Canis lupus familiaris: one gene and its partners. The protein of the gene in region 5 interacts with the protein of the main gene of each other region in a pairwise test. Links are inferred from orthologs where the notes say so. Each region holds a gene or a part of one and is shown on either strand. Other genes may lie near its edges. The genes, in order: SF1, PPP1R12C, U2SURP, QRICH1, RBM17, DHX15 and SAT1.

The links.
Region 1: the proteins of RBM17 (region 5) and SF1 interact in binary tests that used the Homo sapiens proteins (3 or more experiments, as listed by UniProt). The link is inferred for Canis lupus familiaris from reciprocal best matches to the Homo sapiens genes RBM17 and SF1.
Region 2: the proteins of RBM17 (region 5) and PPP1R12C interact in binary tests that used the Homo sapiens proteins (3 or more experiments, as listed by UniProt). The two-hybrid records come from large-scale screens. The link is inferred for Canis lupus familiaris from reciprocal best matches to the Homo sapiens genes RBM17 and PPP1R12C.
Region 3: the proteins of RBM17 (region 5) and U2SURP interact in binary tests that used the Homo sapiens proteins (3 or more experiments, as listed by UniProt). The link is inferred for Canis lupus familiaris from reciprocal best matches to the Homo sapiens genes RBM17 and U2SURP.
Region 4: the proteins of RBM17 (region 5) and QRICH1 interact in binary tests that used the Homo sapiens proteins (3 or more experiments, as listed by UniProt). The two-hybrid records come from large-scale screens. The link is inferred for Canis lupus familiaris from reciprocal best matches to the Homo sapiens genes RBM17 and QRICH1.
Region 6: the proteins of RBM17 (region 5) and DHX15 interact in binary tests that used the Homo sapiens proteins (3 or more experiments, as listed by UniProt). The link is inferred for Canis lupus familiaris from reciprocal best matches to the Homo sapiens genes RBM17 and DHX15.
Region 7: the proteins of RBM17 (region 5) and SAT1 interact in binary tests that used the Homo sapiens proteins (3 or more experiments, as listed by UniProt). The two-hybrid records come from large-scale screens. The link is inferred for Canis lupus familiaris from reciprocal best matches to the Homo sapiens genes RBM17 and SAT1.

What each region holds. Positions count from the first base shown.
Region 1 is NC_049239.1:52,884,932-52,889,555, reverse strand, and holds the start of SF1 (splicing factor 1), read right to left. Parts: upstream 3,145-4,624; coding exon 2,757-3,144; intron 1,452-2,756; coding exon 1,323-1,451; intron 1-1,322. UniProt on the Homo sapiens protein: Necessary for the ATP-dependent first step of spliceosome assembly. Binds to the intron branch point sequence (BPS) 5'-UACUAAC-3' of the pre-mRNA. May act as transcription repressor.
Region 2 is NC_049222.1:103,259,695-103,264,176, reverse strand, and holds the start of PPP1R12C (protein phosphatase 1 regulatory subunit 12C), read right to left. Parts: upstream 2,822-4,482; coding exon 2,501-2,821; intron 1-2,500. UniProt on the Homo sapiens protein: Regulates myosin phosphatase activity.
Region 3 is NC_049244.1:39,158,348-39,162,245, forward strand, and holds part of U2SURP (U2 snRNP-associated SURP motif-containing protein), read left to right. Parts: intron 1-870; coding exon 871-937; intron 938-1,014; coding exon 1,015-1,178; intron 1,179-2,498; coding exon 2,499-2,661; intron 2,662-3,098; coding exon 3,099-3,178; intron 3,179-3,898.
Region 4 is NC_049241.1:40,521,263-40,525,160, forward strand, and holds part of QRICH1 (glutamine-rich protein 1), read left to right. Parts: intron 1-2,070; coding exon 2,071-3,111; intron 3,112-3,898. UniProt on the Homo sapiens protein: Transcriptional regulator that acts as a mediator of the integrated stress response (ISR) through transcriptional control of protein homeostasis under conditions of ER stress.
Region 5 is NC_049223.1:28,863,690-28,867,587, reverse strand, and holds part of RBM17 (splicing factor 45), read left to right. Parts: intron 1-605; coding exon 606-757; intron 758-1,872; coding exon 1,873-1,946; intron 1,947-2,703; coding exon 2,704-2,802; intron 2,803-3,898. UniProt on the Homo sapiens protein: Splice factor that binds to the single-stranded 3'AG at the exon/intron border and promotes its utilization in the second catalytic step. Involved in the regulation of alternative splicing and the utilization of cryptic splice sites.
Region 6 is NC_049224.1:86,154,928-86,158,825, reverse strand, and holds part of DHX15 (pre-mRNA-splicing factor ATP-dependent RNA helicase DHX15), read right to left. Parts: intron 2,645-3,898; coding exon 2,209-2,644; intron 1-2,208.
Region 7 is NC_049260.1:19,543,212-19,547,889, reverse strand, and holds SAT1 (diamine acetyltransferase 1), read right to left. Parts: upstream 3,126-4,678; 5' UTR 2,931-3,125; coding exon 2,865-2,930; intron 2,649-2,864; coding exon 2,597-2,648; intron 2,507-2,596; coding exon 2,423-2,506; intron 1,019-2,422; coding exon 917-1,018; intron 824-916; coding exon 783-823; intron 638-782; coding exon 467-637; 3' UTR 108-466; downstream 1-107. UniProt on the Homo sapiens protein: Enzyme which catalyzes the acetylation of polyamines. Substrate specificity: norspermidine = spermidine >> spermine > N(1)-acetylspermine. This highly regulated enzyme allows a fine attenuation of the intracellular concentration of polyamines.

The DNA of each region.
Region 1 (4,624 bases), on a different chromosome or scaffold from region 5:
TGAGATCTATACTTGCCTCTGTTTTGGCTCTATCCACTTTTGATTATAGCTCTAAACAGCCTGTAGGGCTCAGTGCATTAACTCCCTGCACAGGAAGATAATTGGAGATGTAGAGAGTAAGTTTTTTTCCCCCATTTTCTAAGTCTGCTTGTGTTCTTAGGATGCCATTCCACTAGGGACATTTCCAAAAGGTTGTAAAGACCCAGGCCAATCTAATGAGACAAGGAGGTGGATAGGAGTAAATTGGAACAGTGGGGAAAGAAGAAATATTAGTACTGTAAAAACAAACAATTCCAACACCTCAAAACTCTCAGCAATTAAAAAATGTAAGAGATTATGATCCTCAAGAATAACACATGCCAGCCTTGAAGCTTTTTATCTGTAAAGGCTACAGCCTCCCAGGCCTAGGCGGCCTTTGCCCTAATTTACTCCAAAGGGGATGTTTATTTGGTTAGTAGGAAATGCTTATCAAGTGAACTTTTTGGAGACAGCTGGAGATACATGAATAAAGGTGAAACTCGCATTAAAAACCTTGTATTTAAAAAAAGGTAATTTTGAGGTTAACTTCATTTACATTGTGGACAATTACTATAATTATTGTCTTGAAATTTCCCAACAGTTAAGATCTTTTTTACCCTATCACCTCATGCCATATCCAAGTAGTACCCCTTTCCCAGCAGAATTCTTTGATAATAAATAGTAAAAGAGCCTTCGTTTTAAGGCAGCTCTCCAAAGACCAAACCAGAAAAGATGCTGAAGGAAAGGTTAAATTCAACAAAATCGTAAAAAGGGATGTATACTGCCAACACTTTCAGGACCACTCTTTGATTAAACTGAGTTTTTCAGAAAGTACCTATAAAAAGTAAAAGACCACATTTGAAGGGGAGGGAAGAATATGAAATGGTGAAAGGCCATGCTGTGAAAAAGGTACTTAGTTTATAATACCTGCAGTGTTCTCCACTTGGGGCCGTGTCCAGAGAGGCAGAAGACACTCACCTCACCAACGGGCAATGAACAGCAGCTGAAAAGTGTAGGGTGGGGTACTGGACTGGGGACTACCCTCACTCCTAAATGGGTCCCTCTACCTTCCTGGCACTCATGGAGAACACTGCTGTTACGAACAGACCGAAACCAGGAGCTTCAAATGCAGGACTTACAGAGCAAAAACTGATGGATTATGTCGAAGTCATAAAAGTACACCTGACCATACCTCATCTCAAAAGAACAAGACTTTAAAGTCTCAAATTTAGGACACATAAAACGCTGCTCAGAATAAGTCATAACAATCCGAAAACATATTTGGGTGCAGAACGTGTATTTACCTATATAAGCTCTTTCTTGTTCCCGAGTAAGTCCAGGGGGGATGACTGTAGGCATTCCTGGAATCACTGTCTTCTGTTCCATTGTATCTTGGTTCCAGCGGCTCCTCTTCCGCTTCTTACTTGGGAAGTCTAAAGGCAGAGAAAACCCATCAAATACAAATATAAACCAACAAACTAACTACCAACAGGCAGTTCACGATACTTATAATACTACACACAACCTCGGCAGACTGGGAAACTGAGAACTTGACCTAAAACGTAAATGGCAAAAAATGGAAGACATACCCAAGAAATCAGAGACACACAGCCGCCACAAAGATACCTGGCTCTGGGTCCAAAAACATATTTCATATTTATAACATATGTCAAAAAAACGTGAAGTATGTAAACAAGCTAACAAATCTTAATCCCTACAGTTTCAGATATGCAACATCAACCACAAATGTTTTAAAAACCCCAGGGGAGACAAAATATACCGAATAATCAGATGTGGTAAAGTATGCTGAGAAAACTGTTGGTTCTTCCCACCTCCAAACCCCACCAGCCACCTTTCTAAAGGGACCAGAACACAACCAAACTTACAATTTACTAAGTGAAAAAGCCCAATTCTTCAAAAAGCTCACTTTTTTCTTCAGAAGTTTAGTCAAGATAAGCATTCAGTTTTCCTGGCTAATTTAGACACTTAACATCAGAACTCCTAAATGAGGTATCAAAAGTTCAACAAAATACAAGCTATCCAACAGCAGCCAAATACTCCTCCTCCAAAACAGAAGCGTAAACTTTCTACACATCTGGTACACACAAATCAGTTCTACTTGGAAAGCCCCAACAACTAAGGGGAGACATATCAGACTTCTCTAAGATAAACGAATGGAGATTAGGAAAATATTCCTTCCTCCAAAAGTGCACCGGCTCCAACCACACCACTGAGGATTTTTCGAGCTCTTCCTTTCACTGCAGTAAAAACTTCGCACAGAGAGATAAATTACTCTCGCTTTCCTACCTTTTGGACTTCTCTAGAATCAGAAAGGTGCTCCACGTCATCAATTGACCCTTTCACGCCCTCCCGACACGCACATCCCTCAACCCGTCCACCAATTCAACCCGCTCGACACCCCTCTCCTGTACCAAGCTGTAGAGAGCAACACAGAGCCCCCCCACCCCATTTCCATTTATTATCGGGCCACAAAGCCCGGCAGCCATACTGCGCCTGCGCACAACACCCTCCGCGCTCCACCCCCCCACCCCTTCCAGTGCGCGTGCGCACTCGGGGCCCGAGAACCGGGCCGCGCGCCCCTTGGCGCCTCCGCCCGGGGCCTCCCCGTGCGCGCGCGCGCCCCTGCCGCGTGCAGCCGCCGTCGCCGCCGCCGCGCGCCCCTCAGGCGGCCGGGCCCGTCCGCGCGACGCCTCTCGCGCTCTCTCGGCCCGACTCACCTCCTCCGCCGCCGGCCGGGCCCGGCTGCTGGTCCTGATGGGGTGGCGGCGGCTGCGGCGGCGACACGCGCTGGTAGAGCGGCGGCGGAGGGGGAGGCTGCGGCGGCGGGTACGAGGAGCCCGGGGAGGGCGGCGGCGGCGGCGGCTGCTGGGGAGGCGGGGGCGGCGGCGGTGGCGGCGGCGGCAGCGCCGCGAAGGGGAAGGCCGCGGTCAGGGCTCCCACCGAGCCCACGGGCGGGGGCGGCGGCTGCCCGGGCACCAGCAGCCCCGCCCCAGGCCCGGGAGCAGGCGGTGGCCCCGGCTCGAAGCCCCCTTTGGGCCCGGAAACGGGGGGGAGGCCGGGGGGGCCCAGCTTACCCAGCGGCGTGGCGTTCGCTCCGGTCGCCATGGCGCCCCCGGGGACCGGCACCGGCGGCTCCTTTTAGGCGGTGGTGGCGGCGGCGGCTTCTTCGCGAACCTTCCGGGGGGAGGGGACCCGACTGCGCTGCCGCGGAGCGCGCGGAGCCCGTCCTCTCACGCGGCGGGCGGCGGCGGCGGCGGCGCGAGACGCACAAAGAGGGAGGAGAGAGGGCGCCGCGGGGGCGGTCCGGGGGCGACGGGTCCGAGTCCTGGATTGGGCCGAGCCCAGGCAAGGGGTCGGAATCGGCGGCCTCCGATTGGCGGAGCCTTAGCCCCTCTCGATGCACGCTGGGATTGGCCGGACCGTTAGGCCGGGGGGAAGAAATGGCGGCCGAGCCTGGCGAGCTGGGAGGTGTCGCAGCGCGCACTTCATTTGTTACTGCGCGAACTGAGCTCGGAGTCCAGAAAGGAGGGGAATGGGGCGGGGCAAGCTCTGTGACGTAGGGGGCAGGGTCTTTCTCATTGGTTGAAGTTGATTGGGTCAATGCTCGGTTGCGTCGTAGTGTCATGGGATTGGCTGTCGCTTGTCCGGTTCTTTTTCTACTCCTCCCCCGGGGAGCAGTTTCTCTGGGATTAAGCGAGAGGTCGCGGCGGTACCCGGCAGAACGAGATTTACGGCCGGGGAGGAGTGGAGAGGAGAGCGCATGCGTAGATGGGGCAAGGCTGCCTCTCCGACCTTCGCTTCATGGTCGACTCCTTGGTCCGGCGCGGAAGCCCTTAGTGACGTTAAGTCTCGATTCCCATAGTAACCCGGAACCGAGGGACGGGGGAGGGGCTGGCGCGCGACCGTAAACCGGAACCGTTGACGCGCCGCAGGTAAAAAGGGACTTCCTGTTTTCTTAAAAAAAAACAAAAAACAAAACAAAAAAAACAACTATAAAATAGTCTATTTGAAGGATCAAAGCGATACTGAGCCTATGGAAGAACACATCATCTTAGGCAGAAAACAATAATAATTCGATTTCAAAATTAATTTGCACAACAAAAAAAAAACCAAAACAAAAAAAAAAACAAAATTAATTTGCAAATACATTGTATTTCCATAGAATCAACTAGGTTGGGGGTTGATTACATCATCTTAAAGTCATATAATTATGAGAATAGTGGGGAAACCTGTAAACGAGGTTGAGGAGGAACTCGCTTTTCGGAATAGTGTGCAAGACACTGTAATGAAACAATGTGATTTGTTGAAGGAAAGACAGATGAGCGCGACAGAATAGACCAGAAATAGATTCCCCATGTGTAGATTCAGTAAAGATTCAGCTAACAAATGGTATAGGATCTTAAACAATAAAACAGACCTAAAATAACAATATAGGAGACCAACAGGGTTATCTAGAGGTGGAGACTTAAGGAAAACAAGAAACTCAGACTAGTAAATATATACTTGATCACTAAAGAAATTAGAACTGTAGGATAAAAGCCAACAGATAATAAAACATTAGGAAGATATACTTGCCACACATGAT
Region 2 (4,482 bases), on a different chromosome or scaffold from region 5:
CAGGGATTCAAGAACCCAGACGACAGCCACCACCCTCTCCCCAGACCCAGGAGCCCAAGCTCCTCCCCACCACCCAGAACCAGAAGTCCAAAAGCCTCCCTGCCCCCAAACCCAGGAGTCCAAGCCCCTCTCCCCAAGACCCAAGACTCCAAGACCCTCCCCAACCCAGACCCAGGAGTCCCAGCTTCCATCCTCCCTATTCAGACCTGAGAACCGTGGCTCCCGATCCCTTCTATTCCAGACCAGACCTAACCATTAGGCAATTTTGGGGAAAGGGGAGAGGAAACTGGCTTTATCAAGTGGTTAACGGACCCATCTGAAGCAGGCACTGGGATCTGAGAACTCTGGGCACACGACCAGAGCAGGGGGCTGATGCCTGGGGACCCACTCCAGGGAGAATTCAGAAAGGAAACCACAGCCCCAGGACTCACCCAGACGAGGCAGCCAACTGTCCCAGGTTGTCTGGGACTTTCACTGCTAAAACCAGGCCAGTCTCATGCAAACCAGCATTAGTTGGTCACCCCACAGCAGATCTGACCCAACCCCAGCTCGCCCGGTTGCTGGCCATGTGACCTGAGGCAAGAACTTCCCCTTTCTGAACCCCCAAAGCCCTAACCGTTCAGGCCACCTGCAAAGTGAGTTTACCAACTGCTTGCCTGGAGAAGGGGAAAGATTGCACCTGAAAGGGCAGCCTGACAGGCCAGGTCAGACTTGCCTTTTGCAAGGATCTAGGCCCAGGAGGGTGACAGAGGAGGGCTCAGCCTGAAGAACAGGACCAAGAGTGCCCAAGGGAAAGTCGAGCGGAGCTAAGGTGTGGATGGTGGAAGAGGAAGGGGGTATAGGAGCCTCAGGCCCCTCTCTTGGGCTTGCAAGTACTCTACAAGGCCTCAAAGAAGCAGGACCCTCCTCTGGGTGGAAGACAATTTCCCAGACAGCACTAAAGACTCTGGGTGGGACAGGCCTAGGAGTTGGAAAGGAGAAAGAGGGGAGGGGTGGCACTCAGACCAGGTGGCACAACTCCCCAGAGGAATGCCTCTGCTGCTTCTGAAGGGATTTCCATACAGGCCACCTCCCTCCTTCACCAGAGCCCTGCCAAGAAGGGCTGCCCGCTAGTCCTGCTGCACAGGTGACACTGAGGCACAGAACGGACAGTAACTTTTGTAACCACAAGGCTGAGGAACTGAAACTAGAACTTAGGACTTAGACAATTCTGCTTTCTCTCAACTACTCCTCACTTCGTGGGGACCTGAGAAGTGGGCCTCCTCAAACATCCCTGCCTCCCCCACCAGCCTTTCCTTCCCAGGGTCTTCTCTGGCTCCATCAATTACCAAACCCCACGGATTCTGGCAGGCAGGAGAGGGCTGAGGACTCATCCAGGAAGGGCATGGTCTCAGGGATGAGACAGGGGGTGGGGGCTCTCCTGTGGCCAGTCCTGTCCCTGATGCTCCCACTGTGGGGGGGAGCAGAAAAATGCATCCAGAACCAGAGAGAGTCCTGGGGCGTAAGGTGGCCCTCGTTTTGGGACACAGAAACACTGGAGGCAACAATCAGGGAGTCTTGGAAAGGCATAGGGGCCATGCTGTGGAGGAGAGAACCAGCAGGGTTCTAGAACCCCTCGTGGAGGTGGTATGACAAGAGCCAGAGAGACCACAGAGTCTACAGGAGAAGCTGCCCAAATGCACAGGAGAAAGCAAGATGACCCAGAATAGAGCATCGGGTGCTTTGAGGTTCCCTCAAAAAAGGGCAAGAATACAGGCCTAGACAAGGGGAAGGGGCAAGAGACGAGGAGGTGCCTGGAAGACACATCCCTGACACAAGGCCTACTGTGAGAGACCAGAGGTGGCACAGCCTCCAGAAAGAGAACGCAGCCAGTATCTGGGTGGACATAGGATGAGGTGATCCAGACCTAGAAGAAAGTGGCTCAAGCAAGAGCATCCTCACACAGCAACAGATGGCACTGCCCAAGGGTGAGAAGGAATGGCGAGGAGGACGCATTGTGCAGCAGCACCATGGAAGATCTGGGCCTAGCCAAAGATGTAGCACAGGCCGGGGACTAGGGGAGGAAGCTCCTTAGGCGCCAGAGAGGAGGTTGCTGCGCAGTGAGGGTGGTACCCGGCTGGAAAGGGGAACAGCGGGGTACAGGGGATTTAAGTACTATCGCTCTAAGAGGTGCCACAGTAGACGGGACACCGACGAGGCTGGTAAGGCGCGCTCAGGGTCGGGAGGAGGCGGCGCCAAGTGACCACCACCAAGACCAGAGGCATGCACCAGACTGAAGCTGTCAGCAGTGGCTCGGGTCCAGGGAGAGGGCGGCGCAGGGTGGCAGAGACCAGGGCCGGCTGAGGAGGAGGCTCAAGGCTGCAAGCGGGGAGCTCGAGGTGGGCGGGAGCGGAGAGCGGGGCGCAGACCAGGCCTGGCGACCGTGACTCAGGCTGGGAGGATGCTCGAGGAGCCTCGGACCCAGGGCGGACCAGGTCCCGGAAGGGGCCGGGGCGCTGACCTGGTGCAGGGCGCTGATGCCGTCGGCGTTGGTGGAGTCGAGCACTGCGCGGGCGGGCGGCGGGGCGGCGGGGTCGAGCTCGGTGCCGGGGCTGGGGTCCGCCGCGCGCAGCATGAGGCGCGCCTCGTCCAGGTCGCCGCCCGCGCAGGCCGCCAGAAACTCGGCGGCGCGCTCGAAGCGCACGGTGCGGACGCGCCGCTCCCCGGGGCCTGGCTCGGCGCCCCCACGAGCCCCCCATTGCCGCAGCTGCTCCTGCCGCCGCTCGCGAGCCGCGGCCGCCGCGGCCCCCGGTCCCGCCCCCGGGCCGTCCTCGCCCGACATCGCGCCGCCCGCCCGCCGGGAGAGCGAGCGAGCGAGCGTACGCCGAGCCCCGAGGAGGAGCCGCCGCCGCCGCCGCCGCCCGCCCGGGGCCGCTGGGAACTGCCGCTGGCCCCGCGCCGCCGGAGGATCAGTCTGCCCCCGCCCGGAGCGCCGACGTCAGCACGCCTCCCCGGGGTGCGCTGGGAAATGGAGTCCGCAAGCGGAAGTTGCTAATGGCAACCTCCCTGCCTCGCTCCGCCCCGAGGCGCACCGGGAAGTCCGCCGCTCCAGGCGACCGGTGGACGGTTGGGGTGGGGGTGGGAGTGAGAGTGGGGGCGGGGGCGCCCTGGGAAATGCACTGCTACGTTCCACGGGGCCGGGAGCCGGGAAGGACATAACGCTCATTTTCCCACATAATTCATTAATTGTGGGCTCTTTGGTCAGCTCCCTTTAGCTAGAAATAAGCGGCCGGAGGGCAAGGACGTTTGTCTTCTCTGAGCGCCCCTTATCCCCAGGACCCAGAATGGAGCTTAAAATTGCGAGACCGAAGTTAATTTCTGCACGAAGTAATTAATGGATTCCCGAGGTCAAGGGAAACACCAGGGCGCCCCGCAACCCGGAGACCCTTCAGGGCAATCCCAAATCCCAGCTTTCCGGAGTGGCCACCCAGGTCATGCTGGGAGATAGAGTGGGCAGTCAGAGGTCATGGCCATCGGCCCACAGCGCCAGCGCACGCCGGGAAATGTAGTTCTCAGGGCCACGCCCCTGGAAACACAGTACGTCCTAGGCAGAATCCCAAGCCCCCCAAAAAGCCAGGCCCAAGGACAGGAGAAGTCCAAAGTCCCTCATGGTGACCCCTGGATCACATCCAGTCAAGGGGCCCAAGGGGCGGGGTCCACAAGGACAGCGCCCCCAGAACCTTCATTCATCCGCCTTTCTTCCGAGGGCCTCCTGCGACGCGGAGCACGCTGGAAAATGTAGTCTAGGCTCTACATGCTCGCAAGCCATGCTGGGAATTGTAGTCCTGGGTGAGGGGCTCCACGTAGCACTTTAAAACACGAAATAATCCTCACTTTAAAAAAAAAAAAAAAAAAAAAAAAAAAAAAAAAAATCCTCACTTTAAGTGTCCTGCGCCTAAATCCTGGCTAGGAGAGATAGAGGCACTTTGAGGTCGGATCCAAGACCCGTAAAAATCGCACAAAAAGGCGCTGAAATCTGGACAGCGGCAACAGCCTTTTTTCTTAAGGGATGTTGGAGGAGCCCACCCACTCCGAAGTAGCGGGGGCCTGTAGAAAGAAATAAACTACAAATCCCATGAGGCCTGGGGAAAGCTGGCCATAGCTATAAAGGGAATGGCAGTCCCGGTAGTTCTTGGGATATGTAGTCTCTGAACCCCACGCTTCCCACGCGTGGGACGTGAACCCCACCTCCTTTGCCAGGAAGCTTGAAAGGCAGTTAGTAGGTCGCCTGTAGGTTATGTGCGGTTGTGGTTGTGTGTGTTTCAGTGTGCGTGCATACCCGTGACACTTTATAACTGTGTGCCTACGGTCTTGTGTGTGCCTGGGTGTGTGCTATTCATAGGGATTCATGTTTATCAAGCCTGTAAGTGTTCGTGGAAATATGTCTGTCTGTTTTTGTGACTGTGATTGTTTATCTGGGGTGTCTGCCCAACCCACACGACA
Region 3 (3,898 bases), on a different chromosome or scaffold from region 5:
TAGCCACCATTCTACTTTGTCTCTTTGAATTTATTTACTCTAGTTAACTCATATAAGTGGAATCATTCAGTCCTTGTACTTTGAGACTCACTTCATTAAGCAGATCTTCAAGATTTGTCCATGTCGAAGCATGTATCAGAATTTCTTTACCTTTTAAAGCTGAATCTAGTCCATTGCATGTATTTACCACGTTTTTTATCCTCAGGTGTGCACTTAAAAAATACTTTTAACTTATTTTTTGGAATTAAAAATATTTCCAAGAATAAAGTTCTAAAAGTGTGTGATGATTTTTGCAATGGGTTGAGAAGGTAGTTTTAGTAATTAGACTGGATGTACTTGGGTCAGTTTTCCATCTGATTTTAATTTAGGTTAATTAAATAACATTGGTTTTAGCAGTCTCTGGGAGGAAAATACTACTCTTTATGTTTTCCAGTGAAAGAGTTCTTCATAGTAGAACAATAGAGCTTTATAGAAAATTGCTTATCTTCTGATAGGTATGGTATCTAAGACATTTATTTAACACTCCTAAGTCTTCTAAAACCCGCTCCTTTTGAAATTTCTGTTTTGGGAAAATCCATTGCCATATATAATACCTGACATAAGTGTTCAATAAAATTGGTTGTAAGACTCAGTAAGATGCATACATACCTTCTGAGAACTAATGTTCATCACAAAGGCAGTCTGGGGGCTAGGGTGAAGAAGGGAATAGATGGCAGAAGGCAGTGGGTGAGGATTTCTTTTAGGGATCTTTGCTTTTGGTTTTATTTAAAATGAAATAGGCAAATAATATTTCTCATTTGTTTACATTTAATTGAAGACATTTCTTTGTTAAAGTGTATGATGTTTAATTTTTTGTTTGTTTTGTTTTAGATTCTTATTTGAAAACCAGACACCAGCCCATGTTTACTATAGGTGGAAGCTTTATTCTATTCTGCAGGTAAGTGGAATCAAAACTTTGTTAACTTTAGCTCTGAGATATTTTGCCTTTCTAATAACATTCTGGACATTTATTAGGGAGATTCTCCAACTAAGTGGCGGACAGAAGATTTTCGTATGTTCAAAAATGGGTCTTTCTGGAGGCCACCACCATTAAATCCATACCTGCATGGGATGTCAGAAGAGCAAGAAACAGAAGCTTTTGTAGAGGAGCCCAGTAAAAAGGGAGCACTTAAGGAAGAGTAAGAATTTTTTCTTTTCCTGTTACATATTCAGAAAAGTTGCTTTAATAATCGCTTTAATTAATGGTCTTACTGAGATGTTAGCCCTAAAATAAAATGTTTTTTCTTTTACTTGTGTGAATGATTAAAATATTAACATTTCTCATCATGTGCTATGTAATTTGAAATGTCCTGGCAAGTATAAGTGTGTGTCCTTTTGACCTTTTTCTCTCCTTTTGATAAAAAACCTTCTAAACCTCTCATCGGTTGGTGGTGATCTCTTAGCAATGATTCTCTAGCAGTGAAGTATTTGTGATTCTTACAGAAATTATCTTGGGACCTTTAGAATTCTTGGCTCTCTGAATGCAACATTAAAGAAGAAAAAATTACTGTAGAGCTTTGTGAAGTCTGATGGTTGGTTATGCAGTCTTTCCACAAGAGTTTGCAGTGTGTGGCCACCATGAAAACATATTTGTTAGTCTTCAGTTCAGTCAGCATGGGTACAGTGAAGTTAGTCTGGTTTAAGAAGCAGAAACAAGTACTATTAAGTATTAAGAGGAAGTTCTGTATGCTTCATGGGAAAAAATCGGCTAAAAGATTGTGGCGTATGCTCTGAATACTAGCTGCATTGATGCATTGTTTGTAAAAGCATTTGCTAATGCAGAGCTATATGTATTTGAAACATATTTGCTTCTGAAGAGGTATTTTCATCATTACTTTTGCCCAGGGATCTGCAAACTCATCCTGTATGTTAAATCTGGCTGTCTCATGTTTTTGTAAACAGACTTATTGGAGCACAATCATGATCCCCCCTACCCCCTTTATATGTTGTCTATGGCTTTTTTCATGTTAATAGCAGTGGAATCAGGTAACTACAAGAGAGACTATATGACCTGTAAAGCCTAAAATATATACTGTATGATCCTTTACCAAGTTTGCCAGCACCTGCTTTAGCCTGTTCTATTTCAGAAGTGCTAAAGTAACTGACTTCAAAAGAGAGTGAAGAACATGGAGGCCTTTTTTTTTCCCCCCACTGTAATGGGGTAATAGGACTGGGACACTCTCAAACATTCTTGAAACAAATGCCCATAATTTAAAATTTACTTTATTTGTAAACTAAAAATCACTGGAATCCTTTATTCACAAAGGAAATATTCTTTCCCCATGAGCTCTTCAAAGAAATGTATTCTATTTGGGGGATTTAAATCAGACTTAACACAATTTAGTCTTCAGAATTTTATCCAACTGGGCTTTAAAGAAATTAGTTTGTGAGCAGAAACTATAATGGAATTTGAAATTTATATCTGTAAATATTTATAAGCTAAAAACATTTGTATTCAGACAGAGGGACAAATTAGAAGAAATCCTACGGGGGTTAACTCCAAGGAAAAATGATATTGGAGATGCAATGGTTTTCTGTCTTAATAATGCTGAAGCTGCTGAAGAAATAGTGGATTGCATTACTGAGTCATTGTCCATCTTAAAGACACCCCTCCCCAAAAAGGTATGGAAGTGATTTCTCTTTATGGAACATTTAATTAAGTAAAAGAGAGATAATAGTTGATTTCTTTTTGGATTGAAATTGGTGGTTTTTTTTTCTGTTTGTTTGTTTTGTTTTTGCATGAAGAACTTGACTGAAGAGATCTTTCCCATGTAGTCTTATTTTCCTCCTCTCTGGGGAAACTTGTTATGTTAATTCTATATACAGGTTATCAACAGGTTGAAATGTAAAGAAGTTACATATTTTATCCCTGCCAAAGTAGTGGCTTTGGTAATGTTGAGTTTCTTATAACTTTTCTAATTAGCTGTTTTTACTGTAGCTAAACATTAGCCTTACACCACTGATTGCAAAAAAATTTCAGTATTGAATTTTTTCTAGATACATTATTTGCTGCTGGTTTTTATTTTTAATCTCTTTTATGTTATCTTTTGGTATTCTAGATTGCCAGATTATATTTGGTTTCTGATGTTTTGTATAACTCTTCAGCCAAAGTTGCCAATGCTTCATATTATAGAAAATTGTAAGTATAATGGTGTAAGCTGATATTCCTGAAATAAAACATTAAGGGTAAGGAATTAAAAAAAAGAGGACTGTTCTGTTAGTTAATAGTCTCAGTAATAAATAATTTGAATTTTTTCTTAGTTTATAGAATTTTCTAAAAAATTTGCTGCATTCATTAAACCACTTTAATGTATAGAAAGTTTTCATATCAGTTTCTTGATAAATTATACTAGAACAAATAAGAGTTAAAAAATAACTATTTTTATCGAACATTTAGCCACTTGTGTAGTAAATAAACGGAAACAATAGAAATAGTGGCAGGCATAAAGGAAGAGACCAAAGACAGAACATGAACTGTTTGTAAAGCTATGTTCTCTTTTGATCATCATTGTATTGGTGTAGTTCACTGTGATTGTTTTCCGAGGCAGTAGGAAATTATGTTGCTCTCTTGTAATTAATATATACTTCCTCCTCAGAGTTCCTTTTTGGTGTTTATGAATCAGGGAGACTTTTCTCCAGAAGTCGATGCTGAAATGACATTTGGAGATATGAGTCTTAATCTTAGCTCTGTTATTAGGTTTTTTTTTTTTTTTTTTTCTTTTTCCCTTGGACAAGTTACTTTTCCTATATTATAAAACAAAGAGGTCAGTTTAGGTAGCAGAAAGTATCCTAAATGTAAAGTTCCTTGTTAATCAAGGGAACTAATTTTTTGCAGGAGAGTAATTTAGGTTAAGGCATT
Region 4 (3,898 bases), on a different chromosome or scaffold from region 5:
GCCACCCAGGGATCCCCAGAGGGAGAGAATCTTAAGCAGACTCCCCACTGAGTGCAGAGCCTGACAAAGAACTTGATCCCATGACCCCGAGATCATGATCTGAGCTGAAATCAAGAGTCCAAAGCCCGAGCCAAGTGAGCCACCTAGGTGTCCCAACAATTAAGCAGTTATTTAATCTACTCTCAGAGTTGTGCAACCTTACATCAGTTTTAGAACATTGTCATTACTCTAAAAAAGAAACACTATGCCCATTAACAGTTACTTTACATTTTCCCCAGTCCTCTGCTCTTAGACAACCACAAGTCTACTTTTTATTTCTTTAGAAGTCCTGTTTTGGACATTCACATAAATGGACATGCAATATTTAGTCTTTGTGACTGACTTCCTTAGCATAACGTTTTTCAAGTTTCATCTAGGTTGTAGCATATATCAAAATGTCATTTTTGGGATCCCTGGGTGGCGCAGCGGTTTGGCGCCTGCCTTTGGCCCAGGGCGCGATCCTGGAGACCCGGGATCGAATCCCACATCGGGCTCCCGGTGCATGGAGCCTGCTTCTCCCTCTGCCTGTGTCTCTGCCTCTCTCTCTCTATCTGTGACTATCATAAATAAATTTTAAAAAAAAATTAAAAAAAAAAAATGTCATTTTCATTGCTAAATAATACTCTGTTCTATGGAAATGGTACATTTTATTTATCAATTTATCAATTGATGAACATTTTGGTTGTTGCTACTTTTTAGCTATTATGAATAATGCTACTATAAACATTTTTTGTGGGCATAGTTTTCATTCCTCTTGGGTATATACCTAAGAGTGGAATTGGTGGGTCATGTGGGTTGTTTTTCATAAGTTTGTCATATGGTATGTTTAACCTTTTGATGAACTGCTAGACTTTCAAAGCAGCTACACTCCTACCAGCGATATGAGGATTCTAATTTCTTCACATTCCTGTCAACACTTGTTACTATCTTTTTTTTTTTTGTAGCTGTCTTACTGGCTTTCAAGTGGCATCTTACTGTGGTTCTGATTTACATTCCCATGACAACTAATGATGTTGAGCAGCTTTTCATGTGCTTATTTGCCATTTGCCGACCTCTATTCAGATTCTCCCTCATTTTTTTTGTGTATGATATGAAGAAGTATAACTTTATTGATTTTATATAGATAACCAGTTATCTCAGCACATGCTTGGTTACTTATGTGATGTGTCTCCTGTTATTACATAATCTCTCATCTGCCTTCTTTTTACCTTCCTACTTCGTACCAGTATTTAGAGTTTAGATATGTGTGTCTGAAGGAAAAAAATCTTTTTTTTTTTTTTTTTTTTTTTTTTTTCAGATTACAGGCAACACATGGCATCCTTTCATGATGCTTTGTATGCCAAGGTAACAATAATAAGAAATGAGCTGCATTATTGTTAGAAATGTGTGTGGTTCAGGATATAGTAACCTTCCTTAGATTAAATTATCAGGAATCTTTGTGGGGTTTTTTTATGGGCTTCTTTATTAAAACAAAGCTATTAAGTAGCTGCATTTTAGTAGCAGTGTTGGGAGATCTCTCCAAAAGGGATTTCAAGAGTTTTGTTTCTACTGTTTTTCACTGATCTGTGGTAGGAGTAGTTTTGATTCTGGGTTGAGAATTGCATGCCTTGAAATGTACTTACCTTAACAGAACATTCGTCCCCACACTTTTTATCACTCAGCCTATGGATAAACAATTTTTTAAACATACACCAAAATATATTTTTGTAAATTATATACATATATACCAAGGTGCAAAAATAAAGGGTGTCACATTTTAAAACAAAAGTTAAAAATAAGCAGAAGTTCTGATATTTTCATAGATCCCAGTTGATAGTCCTGCTTGCTCTGGTAGATACTTGTTGCTTCGAATGCCGTGTGATGCTGGAGGATTTTGCGTATGATTTTGGGGGTTGTGGTCTCCTCAGAAGCCTTGGGTATAGCAACCCCTCCTCCTCACATCACCTAGGGCTTCTGCCTGAGATCTCTTCCTTTTGGGGATGAATCCTTAATGTTGCCTGGTTCACTCACTGCTGAATCTTGTTGCCACAGGTACAGGTGCAGGTACAGCAGTCTCCACAGCAGGTCTCGGCTCAGCAGCTCTCCCCACAGCTCACCGTTCACCAGCCTGCTGAGCAGCCCATCCAGGTCCAGGTGCAGATCCAAGGCCAAGCACCACAGCCGGCAACCCCTTCCATCCAGACTCCGTCTCTGCAGAGCCCCAGCCCCTCGCAGCTGCAGGCAGCGCAGATCCAGGTGCAGCATGTGCAGGCAGCCCAGCAGATCCAGGCTGCAGAGATTCCAGAAGAGCACATCCCACACCAGCAGATCCAGGCTCAGCTGGTGGCTGGCCAGTCTCTTGCCGGGGGTCAGCAGATCCAAATCCAGACCGTGGGTGCCCTTTCCCCACCACCGTCTCAGCAGGGCTCACCCCGGGAAGGAGAACGGCGGGTTGGCACAGCCAGTGTCCTCCAGCCAGTGAAGAAGCGCAAAGTGGACATGCCCATCACTGTGTCCTATGCCATCTCAGGGCAGCCAGTGGCTACTGTGCTGGCCATTCCACAGGGCCAGCAGCAGAGTTACGTGTCTTTGAGGCCAGACTTACTGACAGTAGACAGTGCCCACTTGTACAGTGCCACTGGGACCATTACTAGCCCTACAGGAGAAACCTGGACCATCCCTGTTTACTCTGCCCAGCCCCGTGGGGATCCTCAGCAGCAGAGCATTACCCACATTGCCATTCCCCAGGAAGCCTACAATGCAGTTCACGTCAGTGGCTCACCCACGGCCCTGGCAGCTGTAAAGCTGGAGGATGACAAGGAGAAGATGGTGGGCACCACGTCTGTAGTGAAAAACTCCCATGAAGAGGTAGTGCAGACCCTTGCAAACTCTCTCTTTCCAGCACAGTTCATGAATGGCAACATCCACATTCCAGTGGCTGTGCAGGCTGTGGCAGGCACCTACCAGAACACAGCTCAGACTGTCCATATATGGGACCCCCAGCAACAGCCACAACAACAAACCCCCCAGGAACAGACGCCGCCGCCGCCACCGCCACAGCAGCAGCAGCAGCAGCTCCAGGTTACTTGTTCAGTAAGTGAGACTTATCTAAAGGGCAGCCTGCTTCCCCAGGGCCCTGTGCAACACAGAACTTTCCTGGCAACCTCTGGCTTGTTTACTGCAATGATGTTGGTCTTGCAGTGATATAATATTTAATAGTTTAGTTGGGGTCGAGGAGGGGGAATAGAAGCAGCAGTTGAAAGCTATACAATAGGCAGGAGTTCTGTCCTAGTACCTGGAGATAGATACCTTGGATCCTTTTTTTTTTTTTTTTTTCTTTTAAGATTTTATTTATTAATTCATGAGAGAGACAGAGAGAGGCAGAGATACAGGCAGAGAGAGAAACAGGCTCCATGCAGAAAGCCTGATGTGGGACTGGATTCTGGAACTCCAGGATCATTCCGGAACTCCAGCTGAAGGCAGATCCTCCTTTTTAAAGAGGATGAAAGAAAGGTGAAATTCGTTTTTTAAAATCACATTAAATCACAATATTTTTATTTTATTTTTTTAGATTTTATTTATTCATGAGAGATAGAGGGAAAGAGGCAAAGACATAGGGAGAGGGAGAAGGAGGCTCCACGCAGGGAGCCCGATGTGGGACTCAATCCCAGGACTCCAGGATCGTGCCCTGGGGCTGAAGGCAGGCGCTCAACTGCTGAGCCACCCAGGCATCCCAGGTCCTTCTTTTTTTAAGAAGAGTAAAGTTCTAGGGAAAAATTAATGGGACACACTGAGTGTTGTCTGATTTTAATAACTTACTTTCTGCATCACAAATGAATGGATCTTGTGGAACCCTGTAAAGTTTAGTGCACAGGCTGTA
Region 5 (3,898 bases):
TCCAGCTTCACTTTACCATAAGCACCTCTGAAGGAATCTCTAAATTGGGGGTCTTGCTTTGCTCAGAGTCAGCCTTAAGCTGGTCAACTAATCTGGGCCTCAGTATCTTCCATTTTCTCATCTGGTAAATGGATGCGCTCTAAGAGTTCTTTTGTTTATAAGGACTGTCATCAAGAACTCTACTATTTAGAAAAATGTAGTTGTCTTCATTGTGTGAAAATCATGCTTGTTTTTTGACGGGCACACTTGGAAGTAAACCGTGGTCATAAATTGTATAGCAGTGCAGTCTCTGGAGCACACAAGACGTCTGGTGTTTTCTAACAGTGATACTGGGAGAATTTGGGGAGAATATGGGCATTTTCCTTACCTCAGAGATAATCTCAGGATGTCCAGGATTTCAGCATTAGCTTTTTCCATTTTTTTTTTTTCATCCTGAGTATCCCCACAACCTCCAACGATTGGCCCGTTGGTAATTATGTGTGACCACATCGAAACCCATGTGGGATTTAGACTTTTTCGAGGGTGATTGCTATGATATAAAATTGGTTTATGCCATAGCTGGTGATTTCAAGGCCAGGAAATCCTTCTCTTTTCCTTCCTCCCAGTGGCACAGTAGCACATAAAATCATGCAGAAGTACGGCTTCCGGGAAGGCCAGGGTCTTGGGAAGCACGAACAAGGGCTGAGCACAGCACTGTCAGTGGAGAAGACAAGCAAGCGAGGAGGCAAGATCATTGTGGGTGATGCCACAGAGAAAGGTGGGTCTGCTCCACGAGCAGGGCTTCTGGGGTGGGAGCACGGGGAACGTGGTCCAGCATGAGAGGACCACCCCTCTCTGGAGTAGACCAAGAATATGCGATTATGATGTATTCCAGTTCTGTGTTGTGGAAACAGAGGCTCGGGAGGCTCATTGGAACAGATCTAGAGATAGGAAGGTTCATGGGGGAAAAGACGATAGACTCGCAGAAATAACACTCAGAGAAGTGTTTTCATGCCTATTTGTACTATGCAAAGACCTTGTTAAACTGGTAAAATCAGAGTTATGGTTTTAGAGCATGGAAGAGCCCTGTGCATTGTGTCCGTGATGGTACTGGTGTATTTCCATCCTCTATGAGTTTTTTACTTTTTGCTTTTTCCTACCCTTTCAAGTGTGATTTCTCATTTTCTTACAGATTGATTGCTCTGTGAAGTCTGGTGTTATTTCACAGTCTGGTGGTAGATGATGCCTACTTGGTGTTTTATTTTCATCTTATTATTATGTTCTGTTCTGTGCCCAGGGCATATTGAAATGAGTCAAACGTGTAGCTTCACATTTTAAAAAGAATTGAGTTTATTTTGAGTATCTTAGTTTAGCTCCCTTTCTTAAGGAAAGAAGAAAACTTTGCTGGCAGCCCTGTCAACACATGGCCTGATGAAGCAGCTGGTTGGCCTGACAGGCTAGAAGCCAAAATCAGCCATCGCCCTGATTTGTAGGGTATATGAAGTTAGTCTGCCAGTGGCTGGCTAATTCACTGCTTATTATATTGGACTGGTGACCTTTGGCCACACTGCATGTGCCAATACTCTGACCTGTAAGGTTTGTGGTCTGTGCTCTGTCAACTGTGTGAACTAAGGAAGTGACCCTAAGCAAAAATCCCAGGTAATTAGAGAAGCTGAAAACTTGTAGAAATTATGGTAAAAACCTATACTGAAGCAGAGCAGATATTTTCATCATGGATAAGGCGACATTTTTGCTCAGAGACTGATTGCATAAATGCTTATAGATGAATCTAAGGACATAAATAGTGGGTACAAGTACTCTTGAAATTAAATTAGTCATTGTAACTTGGACTCCGTGTTCTAACACGCCTACGTCTTAAATGTTTTGCTACAGATGCATCCAAGAAGTCAGATTCAAATCCATTAACTGAAATACTTAAGTGTCCTACCAAAGTGGTCCTCCTAAGGGTAAGAAGCAGAATTGAAGAAACCCGTTTTCCTACCTTGATTTTTGCTTGTCACTCCACCTTGATCCATCTTTGCATGCTTTCAACCCTATTGATACAATAACAGTTAAAACTGAAAATAATTTTTCTGCAAATGATTGTTCTGGATAGATGCCATCTGAGGTTGATATCTTAGGTTCCCTTTTCACTAATGTTTCTTTGCTAAATGCAGTATTCAAGACTGCAATGAGTAATTGCTTTAAAATATTTGAAGTCGTTAGTTCAGTTTAGTTTATCTATTTTAGTTTATCTAGCATAGATGCTCTTGTGACTCTATGAAATTTAGTGTATGTGTGTGTGTTTAGTGTTTCTCAAAAGATTTGCTTATTTCACCTATTAATTTTACAACAAAATGTGTTCACTTTTGCCTTGAGCGGTAAGTAAGCCATGTTTAACTTGGGCGCCTGTCCATGTAGGATACTCTTTCAACTCAAAGTGGAACATCAACTCAAAAAATTATTTTTCAGTTAAATGAGTAAAGGGAATAAGAGTGTACCTCTGTACGGCGTTACGTACTGTGAGCTCATAATTTGCTTTAATTCAACGTGTTAAAAACCATAAATATTTTTTTTGTTAAGAAATACCAACTTTTGGATACTACAAGAATGAAAATTCTCATTGTGTCATTTGGGATTGAGAACATTTGCCATCGTGAAACAAAGTTATTTATTCATCTTTATTTGTAAATTACACTTGAACTTATTCATTTTTGTTCATAGAACATGGTTGGTGCAGGAGAGGTAGATGAAGACTTGGAAGCAGAAACCAAGGAAGAGTGTGAAAAATACGGCAAAGTTGGAAAATGTGTGATATTTGAAGTAAGAGGGCTTTCTTTTGATTTTTGTAACCCAAGTTGTAACTGACAGGTTACCAGACATTTTCTGCAAATAGAGACAAGTTGTACCGTGAGTAACATCGTCGAAGGTCACAGATGATGCTTAGATACACTTCGTTTACATAGTTATAACAATTTTAAACATAAAGACAGGAAGGACTTCACATTTTATTTGGTGAAGAAATTAATTATTTCCTTTTATGATTGAGGTTTAGTTTGATGACTAAAGACTACTGTCATGTGCTCAATAGTTGAGTTAGTTGGACGTACCTTTGGTTTCTTTCATTTGGCAACCGTAAATTTAGTGCCTCCCACATGCTTTTGGAAGACAGGAAACATGTCTGTGCTCTCAGTGGTATGTTCAATTGAAGAAACAACAAAAAAGCACATGTAAAAATAGGGAATGTTCAGTTGCTAGACTCTGTAGTATTCACTATAAATACAGGAGTCAAGAAAAGGATTTGATCACAAAAAATAGAGCAAGCTTTGTGAACAGTATCAGATTTGGGTGAGCTTAGAATGTATGGGTAGGATTTGGATAGGAGGAATAGGTATCCTGACAGGGTCACAGCTTCTGGGAGACTAAGGGGGCTGCAGAGTGGAATGTTTGGGAGTGCTGCGAATGAACGGAGTGGGGGTGCTTACCTGGGAATGAATGGGGGACATGCTCACCATGGGGCCATGTTATACCAGACTTGGAGAGCGTGACAGAGGAACTTAAGCAAATGTGAGAAGCAATTAGAGCACAGATCTTTTCATCTTAAATTTCTGCTCCCACTGCTGCTTCTCTTCTATATCACGTTCTGTTTGTTGACTGCATAGTGATTTGTTTAGGTGTCGACTGGCATAGGATCTCTTCAGGGTTAAATGTGGCTGTGCTCAGTTAGCTCTGTGTTCTCTACCCCAAACACAGTGCTTCTCATAAATAGACATTCAAAAAAAAAAAACCAGATGTTAACAAATTTTGATGATGAAAAAATCATTTATTTCCTTGGTATATGACTTGTTCTGTATATGATAATTGCAATACTTACTCGACAAAGATCAGTTAAGGAAGAAAGCTTGTATTCAACTATTAT
Region 6 (3,898 bases), on a different chromosome or scaffold from region 5:
CTTCTCTTCCTCCATTTGAAGCTACCTTCCTAAAAACTGATCCTCAGCCCTCTAGTCTTACTTTACACATTATCCTGATTGGTCTTATTTATTCTCCTGATTTCTAATATTACCTATAATACATTTGACAATCCTAACTACGTTCCCATCCCTAACCTAACGGTCCTTTCCACTTGAGTATCCCAAATTCAAGAAGTTCAAAACCATTTTGCACCTTCCTCCAAATACTTATTAATCCCTCCCACGTCCCCTAAGATTAGTAACTCCACAATCTACTGTTTATTCTATTACCTTATACAGAGTCAAATTTTGCTATGATCTCCTACAAAGTCTGTCGTCCATATACAGAGCATACAGAGCTTTCTCTTCACCAAACCTGTGCCCCCGTTCACACTCAACTGGCTTTAGTTTCTTATATATGGATATAGCATGAACATACCATATTGCAATGTGGGATCAAGTCCCACATCGGGCTCCCTGCATGGAGCCTGCTTCTCCCTCTGCCTGTGTTTTTGCCTCTCTCATGAGTAAACAAATAAAATCTTTAATAAATAAATAAAATAAAGCTGTTCAGCTTCCCTTTGAACCCAACTGCTCTGCAATCCTAGGTACACAAAAACAAACAAAAAATACCACAAATATTCATCCAAATAATTACAAACCTCTCATTTTGAATTGACTTGACCATCTGCATTAACTGCTACTAAAGAAACTCATCTCTGAAATAAGGTTAACCACATAAGACCACAGAATAGCAGAATGAAATAAATATAGCATTGGCTATAAACAATAGCCAATGGGACAAAGTTCTTAATACTGAGCCCACCTAAATCTACTATGCATAACCACGGACAACCCACTAAAACCTCTAAGACTCTTATGAATCTAAGGCTCATTTTGTTCATCTGTGAAATGGTGATTAACAACTTCCTTGTAAGGTTGTTGACACAAATAATACATACAAGGGACACAGTGCCTAGCTTTATCCAATAGCTAATTAAATACTATGTAGATAAACTAGTTGAAATAATTCTTTTAAATACTAAATAATTCTTTAAAATAAGTTTAAAGTCGTATCTTTTCACACATTAAACTTCCATAAGGTGATAAAAATAAACCTATCAGTTTCAGTTCCTAACATCAATACTAGATTTTCGTTCAGTTATGAAGAAAAATCGTATTCAGTAAGGCTCAGTCTTTCAAAACTTCTTATTCTGGTTGCCACTGTAGCCTTCAAAATGTCTCCATGATATACTCCAATCTAGGTTTGTGGCATATGAAACTTAAATGGTAACTTGCGTATGCAGTACATTCCATTATAAACTTGGGTCACAGGTACATAAACATGGAAAATAAGCCAGGAAGAAACACAGTACAGTCATAATTTCTACATGGTAAGACAAGTTATTAAATTCATTTCGACACTTTCCAGATTTTCCAAATTTTCTACAATGGCCAAGGACTGCTACTTTTGCAATCTCTTAGAAATTTGTGACTGGTCAGGCTCAAACATATGGGAAATATGGTTAACACCTCACTCATAGCAGGAAATGCAAATTAAAAATTATGCTGATACTACTTTTCACATATCAGATTCGTAAATATTCTAATTCCACAGTATAGTCTAATGGATCTACTTGCTCATGAAAAACAACCATCAGAAGCAGCCTAGAGATCGATAACATGGGACCAGTAAACAATGGCTCATCCATTTTTGGAAAATATCCTAGATATATTACTAACAAGATAGTGTTTACTTCTAGGCCAAGTGTAACTAGATGGATGTGGAGGTCATGAATAAAGAGACTTTACTCAGCTCTTCCATCTTTTTAAAAAAAAGGATAATTTTCACATGGTTCAAAACAAACAAGAACAAAAACAAAACTATCCCAGTGGTTCCAAATTTCTACTCAGAGCAATAGAATACTTGTACCTCCAAATTTGTACCACCCCAGAGTCAAAGTGATCAGAATGCATCATTCTGCCATATTTAACATTAACAAAACAGCACTGCTATATTCCCCTAGACTCAGGAAAATAGGCACTCCCTACAGGATTCCCACTCTGTGCACTACAAACATCAAAGTAGCTAGTCTTCAGGATGTTCTAGGAGACAGACAAGGCAGAAGGACTTCCAATCAAATAAGCAACATTTAGTAAATGTAAACATTAATACGGTATGTACTGTGGTACACAATAATAACTCACCTGTGTTGTTTTACCAGACCCAGTCTCACCAACCAGTACAAAGGACTGATGCCTAACCAGAATATCTGTAAACCTATCCTTGTATTCCCAAACAGGGAGCTGAAGCCGTTTCTTTAGAATATCATAGTATCGAGGAGTATGGGGTAAGTTGGTAAATGGATTAATGCACTGTGGAAGTGATGTGTGTCCTGCATGTCCTGTGTGTGTTGAATGAGCAGAATGTGTCGAATGTGTTGAATGTGCAGAATGAGTTGAGTGAGCTGAATGGGAAGCTTTTAAAGGTGGTAATCCAGCACTGATAAGCATAGCATTAGTCGAAGCTCGCAATTCCTTCTCCTTTTCTTTCTCCCTTTCCCGCTCTCTATCTCCTCTATCACGTTCTCGGTCTCGATCTTTAGACCGATCTTCACGATCCCGGTCACGATCTCGATCCTTCCTAAAAATAAAAATTTAGAATTCAGATTCTGAATTTTACGCAAAATGTTCTTGGCAGTGTTATAGTCACAAAGAACAAGAATGTCTAACCACCAAATGAATAAACCAATGAATTATGTAAGTATCAGACATAATGAAAAAGACCTTATAATCAAGAATTCTCCATGCCTCACCCATAAATCTTTTTCTTTCCTTGATGAGACCTCAAATTCTCTTAAGGGACCATCTCTTTCTACACCTTTAGCCACCAGCTGTTGTTACACAAGACTCGGACTTGACTGAGTAAAGTAAAACCCCTTCCTACTTATTTAGACAGTAGAAATTAAAGACTGAGAGTAAGGTGGGGGAAAAGGAGGAGAAAATAAAGCAAGAGGGGGATATGGGCATCACAATTTTCCCCAGATTCTCCCTCAAGTTACATGAAAAGTTATTTTTTGCACTGAAAGTATGTTCAAAATTCAAAACTGCTTCTGGACACAAGGACCATTCTACTTCACATAACAGTAATACAAACATGAGTTAAAGGATTGTAGGTGAGTTCATTTTCAAGTTATGCCTTAAATCAGTTTCCCAATTTTGTTTTATAAGCATGTATTTGTCCTATTAAAAAAAAAAAACTAAAATTAAAACACTTCCTTTTGTTTTCATTGTTTCCTCTTGCATGATATCCTTAATAGTAACTGCAAAACTCTGTAAACCTATGTATACTTTGGACATCTATCAAGTGAAATATAACCACTAAAAAAACAAGCTCCACTGAACAATAGTAAGTTGTCTTAAAATGCTAAAATTATGCAGACGGTCACTATACTAAGCCTAGGTCAACTTTAAGTACTCAGTTCTAGTATCTACTTCCAGTTAGCAGGCATGATTCCTAATACAATAATAATTTTTAAATAAGCTTCAGACCAATTCCTATAGCAAACTTCTACAAGGTATTTGGACCCAGACTTGAAATAGTTGAGGCAATATAGAGCTATGAGACAAGCCACTGAACACCTCAATATTCCTTATCCATAAGACACAAAAGGCATACAAACTTCCCATGCACCAATTATCAGTAGCTGAGTAGGAAAAACCATTCATTCCCTATAAAAGCACATCAGCAGGACAACAGAAACCCCTTGACAGAATACAGCTAAAATTCTAGAGACAGCAGGAGTTAGGATGGCTCCCCAAATACAGAAATGTTAAGCAGATCAATCTTATTTTCTTTTGTCCTCGCTAAAATATAACTGTATTCCACAGGAATTTA
Region 7 (4,678 bases), on a different chromosome or scaffold from region 5:
CTGTAAACAATTTTAAGGTTATCAAGTTAATGTTTCTTGGCCATTTTTACTTTGCATTCAACAGCAAGAAAAATGTCTCGAGAAATAAAGATTAGTCAAAATGCGTATACCAATTAAATCAAAGGGCAGTTTATTAAAAAAGAATCAAAACAGAAACTCTAAGTACCAGTGTGTACATTGTACACATTTAAATGACTCACAAGAATGAAGTTTTTTTCATATACATTAAGATCATACCACCTTGTTTATCAAAAGATGTTCAAGGAGAAATCTGACTCCAAACTGCATACAAGATTGCCATCTTCAACAGACCGCATTTCAAACATGCAACAACGCCACTGGTAATAAAGCTTTGGAATGGGTGTTCATTCTATTATTTGACTACAAACAGGATAGAAAGCAAGATCAGTTGAGAACTTAATCTAAAATAGAATGGAAGCTGTCATCGTCTGCACCGGCACACGCCTTACTCCTCTGCTGCCATTTTTAGCAAGTACTCCTTGTCGATCTTGAAGAGTCTCCATCCCTCTTCGCTGGACAGGTCAGAAGCACCTCTTCTTTTGTAGAAGTTGATAGATGGTTCATTCCATTCTGCTACCAAGAAGTGCATGCTGCTGCAGCGACATTTCATCGCAACCTATTATAAGGGAGAGTAAAACAAACTCAGTGACATTTCACCTGCTTTCCAAGACCCAAATCTGTTCCAGTCATTAAAATAATTCAGTAACCCTTACAAATCTGGAAACCAAACCCCCTGCCCCTCCCCCCAAACCAAGACGTACCTGGCTTAGGTTCTTCAGAATTTCTGATCCTATGCCAAAGCCTAAAAGAAAGAGAAGTACCATTTAAAAAGTCATCTTCAGGATGTTAAGTCCTGGTTTCTCTTTAGGGCATCTCCTCCTAAACTCAGCCATACCTCTATAATCACTCATTACGAAGAAGTCCTCAAGATACAACAGTTTGCCAATCCATGGATCATAGGTAAAGTAGTACATGGCAAAACCCACAACACTGTGTCCTGTAATAAGAATATCACATGAGATGTGAACGAAAAGCAACCCATAAAAGTTGTAGCTGCAAAATCAGAAGCCTATCATAGGTTTTAGAAAATAAACATGCATGTATTATAGAAGTAAGTAGGCACTGAAACGGGACTGTCTCCTGATTTTTATGCTAGTGCAGTCCAGGCCACTTTTGGATGATCTCACTGTTCTCAGGACATGTATTTGCAAAAAGCACACATTAGAGCTAGCTGAAGCGAGGCTAAAATCATGGGACTGGCCACTCTGCGATCTGCTGGATCTCACACCCCAGGAAGTGAGACTTTCATTACTTGCCAGAGCAAAACTGCTGTAGTCTTAAACTAAACACACACATTATTCACATCCTATTGATATATTGGTATGTTGACTTGGGAATAAGTCGGGTTTACACGGCAGTTCAGAATAGTAAATATTTGTAGATTAGAAACTCTGCTTCCTTAAGGTCAGGACATCAGGCCATCAAAAGTGTAACGTTTAATTTCAGAACTTGCCTTCCAATTCAGATTTTCAATTTGCTCTCCCCAGTTTTAAGCCAGAAGAAGCAGAGGTACCCAGAAATAGCTCTTATGTAACATCCACATACCTCCAAAAAGTACCTCATCCCTTATGTTTTCCGTTCATTTCTTCTAGCTTGGGGAAGAGACTTAAGAAAAAAGTGAAGCACCCACCCAAACAACTTCCCCTTTTAGCTCTGTCTTCTGACCAGTCAACAGGGACCAGCAAAAAAAAAAAAAATAAAACAATCTGACTCCCTATAAAAATAGGGTGTCTATAATTTCAAATGGAGGCAAAGGTTTCAAATTAAACTTTCTAGCCATTTTATAGTCCTTTGCAAACACAGGAAGAGAGTACACTGGAGTTTCTGATCTACCGTGTTTTAAGTGTGTGATAATAGGACCTTACCTCATTTATCATGATCATCTACTTTATTGTGTAAAGGATCTTTTAGTTACCTCCCCGCCCATCCATGTACACGGAAGGGCCATGTACATGGCGAAGCTAGAGACTGTAACCTGAAGATTGGGACAAATTAAAGAAAAAAATGTGATTTAACACAATTACAAAAAAGGTTACGTTAGGGTCAAACAAGAACTGAATTACAATAAATGACATTATACCTAACCCTTCCAGGTCTCCACAGCATTCTGATACTTACTTAAACAGCTCTTTCAACCCGCCCTATTATTATGTGCAGGACATCTATTTTCTTTTTCCTCAGTAGTTTGAACACTGGCTATTATTTCTGGCCAATTTCTCAGTAACTTTGGCCTGCGTTGTCAGTGGTTCTACACAACAGACACTCTATGTTTTATACAACACTTGGTGTTTGGCTTCTGGAAGCGGGGGGGGGGGGGGGGGGGGGGGGGGGGCGGCGTTACCTTCCGGAGACTGGTGCTCCTTGGGCACTTCTGCAACCAGGCAGTGGTAGAAAGGGTGCTCTCCGAAACCATCCTCTAGTAGATCTGCAAGAAGGGGCATCGGGGACAGTGATGGCCTCGGTGAAGATGCCAAGTACCAGACACCCTTCCCCCGCCCTGGTACAGTCGCGTTACCTTTTTCAGTTAACATTACTTGCTCTTCCATGTATTCGTATTTAGCCAGTTCCTGGGGCGATGCACACGGGAGAAAGGGAGAGAGGGAGAAAACTAAGTGAGGCCCTGGCCCAGGCAGCTCAGAGGGAACGGGGTGGGCGGGGCGGCGATTCGTTCCCAGAATCGAGCGGCCCGGCTGAAGCTGGGGGGAGCGGGCGGACAAAGGGGAACCCGCCGGAGCGGCTCCCCACTTTCCCCCTCCCCAGGGGCGGCCCGGGCCTCCCGCTACCTTGATCAGCCGCAGGATGTCACTGCAGTCGGCGGCGGTGGCCGGGCGGATCACGAATTTAGCCATTTTCGTCTTTTGCTTTTCTTCCCTTTGCGGACCAGGCCCCTGTACTTGAACAGTAGTAGGAGGTGGTTCCTCATTCGTCTCCCCGGAGCGTCCTCTTCCCAGTCAGGCTGGCACCATGACCCGGCGGACCTCGGCGAGCAACGAGCACGTCGGCCAGACTGCGACCAGAACGGCGCGCTTTAGCGGCCGCCGGGTCCCGCTTTTTAGGGCCAAGTAGCCCCGCCTCCGGGCGTGAGGCGGAGGCAGCTCGTCCAATGAGGCCGCGACCGCCCCCCTCTTCCGGGCGCCTCCCCCTCTTCCGGGCTTCCGTGTGAACCCGGCGGGCGCAGGCGCGGGCGCGGGCGGGGGCGCGGGCGGGGGCGCGGGAGGGGCGAGGCGCGCCGCGGGCTTCTCTCGGGGCGCCCTCTCGCGGCGCCTCTCGACGCCTTCCCGGAAACCCGACTTTCTAGCTTGTGCGTCACCCGGTCACCTTTGCGAAAGGAAAAGAGTAGTTCCTCTTGTGAACCCGGGCCGGTGACCTTGCCGTTTCTCCCTTGGCCGGAGGGGAGTGGAACTCAGGAGAACCTGCCTTGGGCAACGTGAGGATGAGAGCAGCGGTTCTCTAAAGTGTGCTGTGGGGGACCCTGCAGATCCCAGGGTCCTTTCAGGGAGTCTGTGTCAAAACGAGTTTCATAATAATAGTGAGGCGTCACTGCCCCTTTTCATTCTTGTGGGAATTTTCCAGAGGCGACCTGATGTGTGTGTGTGAAGTCACTGCTCTGATGACTAACGTAATGCGTGCTTGTATATTCTTGTGTTTTCTACAGTTTCCTAAGGTAAACTATTTGGATTCCTCAATAATTTTTCTCTCATACTTGTAATTTTTAGAGTTAGCACAGCGTTCTTTCCTAATTTTCTTTCCTTCTTATTCTTTGTTAAATCTCTGACCTTCCTTGTGGAAACGCTCTCCTGCCTGACGGGCACTTTTCACAATTTCCTTCAGTACAGAAAAACTTTCTGCGTTGGTTGTCTAAATATGTCTTCAATTCATCTTGAAGGATTTCTTTCACTGTTTATAGAGTTTGGGGTTGGATGTTATTTTCTTTCAGTGTAGTGGTGATGTCAGGTTACCTTCTGGCTTCCATCGCTGTTGAAAGTTGATGTAATCCCTACTTGCTCCATTCTCTGTGCTGCTTTCCCCCCCTTTTCTTTAACTTTTCATTTTCAAATGATCACAGATTTACAGAATGTGTGATGACATTGCTCTGGTGACTAAAGGGATGTGTGCTTGTGTATTCTTATGTTTCATAGAATTTTCAAAGATACGCTTTTTGGATTCTTCAGTAATTTTTAAATGTCCTGAGAACAAAATGTTTCAGAACGGTTGAATTAGAGTATAGCTCTTTTTCAGTTGTTCCCACTGGAACAAGTGTTCTGGCCTCTTGCAGATACAGTTTTTGTTTTACAACCCACCTTCCCAGACAGAGGCCCTGGGGGCTTGCTTTGGCCACTCTGCCTGGATTCCAGGAGGAGCCAAAGCATAAAAGGGGCTCACAGGTTTCTCAGTGTGGAATGAGAGGTGGACTATCACCAGATGACCACAAACATTCAACAATTGTTTCTCTGCATTTGTTAGCAATATCCTGTATGTAAAAAAGAAAGCAAAAGTAGGCTCTTTGTTGCCCTTCCCACCCTCTGGAGATGTTATGCATGGTGAGTCATCTGGGAGTTTATGAAATGTCTTTCTCAAAGATCTTTAAAAATAGCAT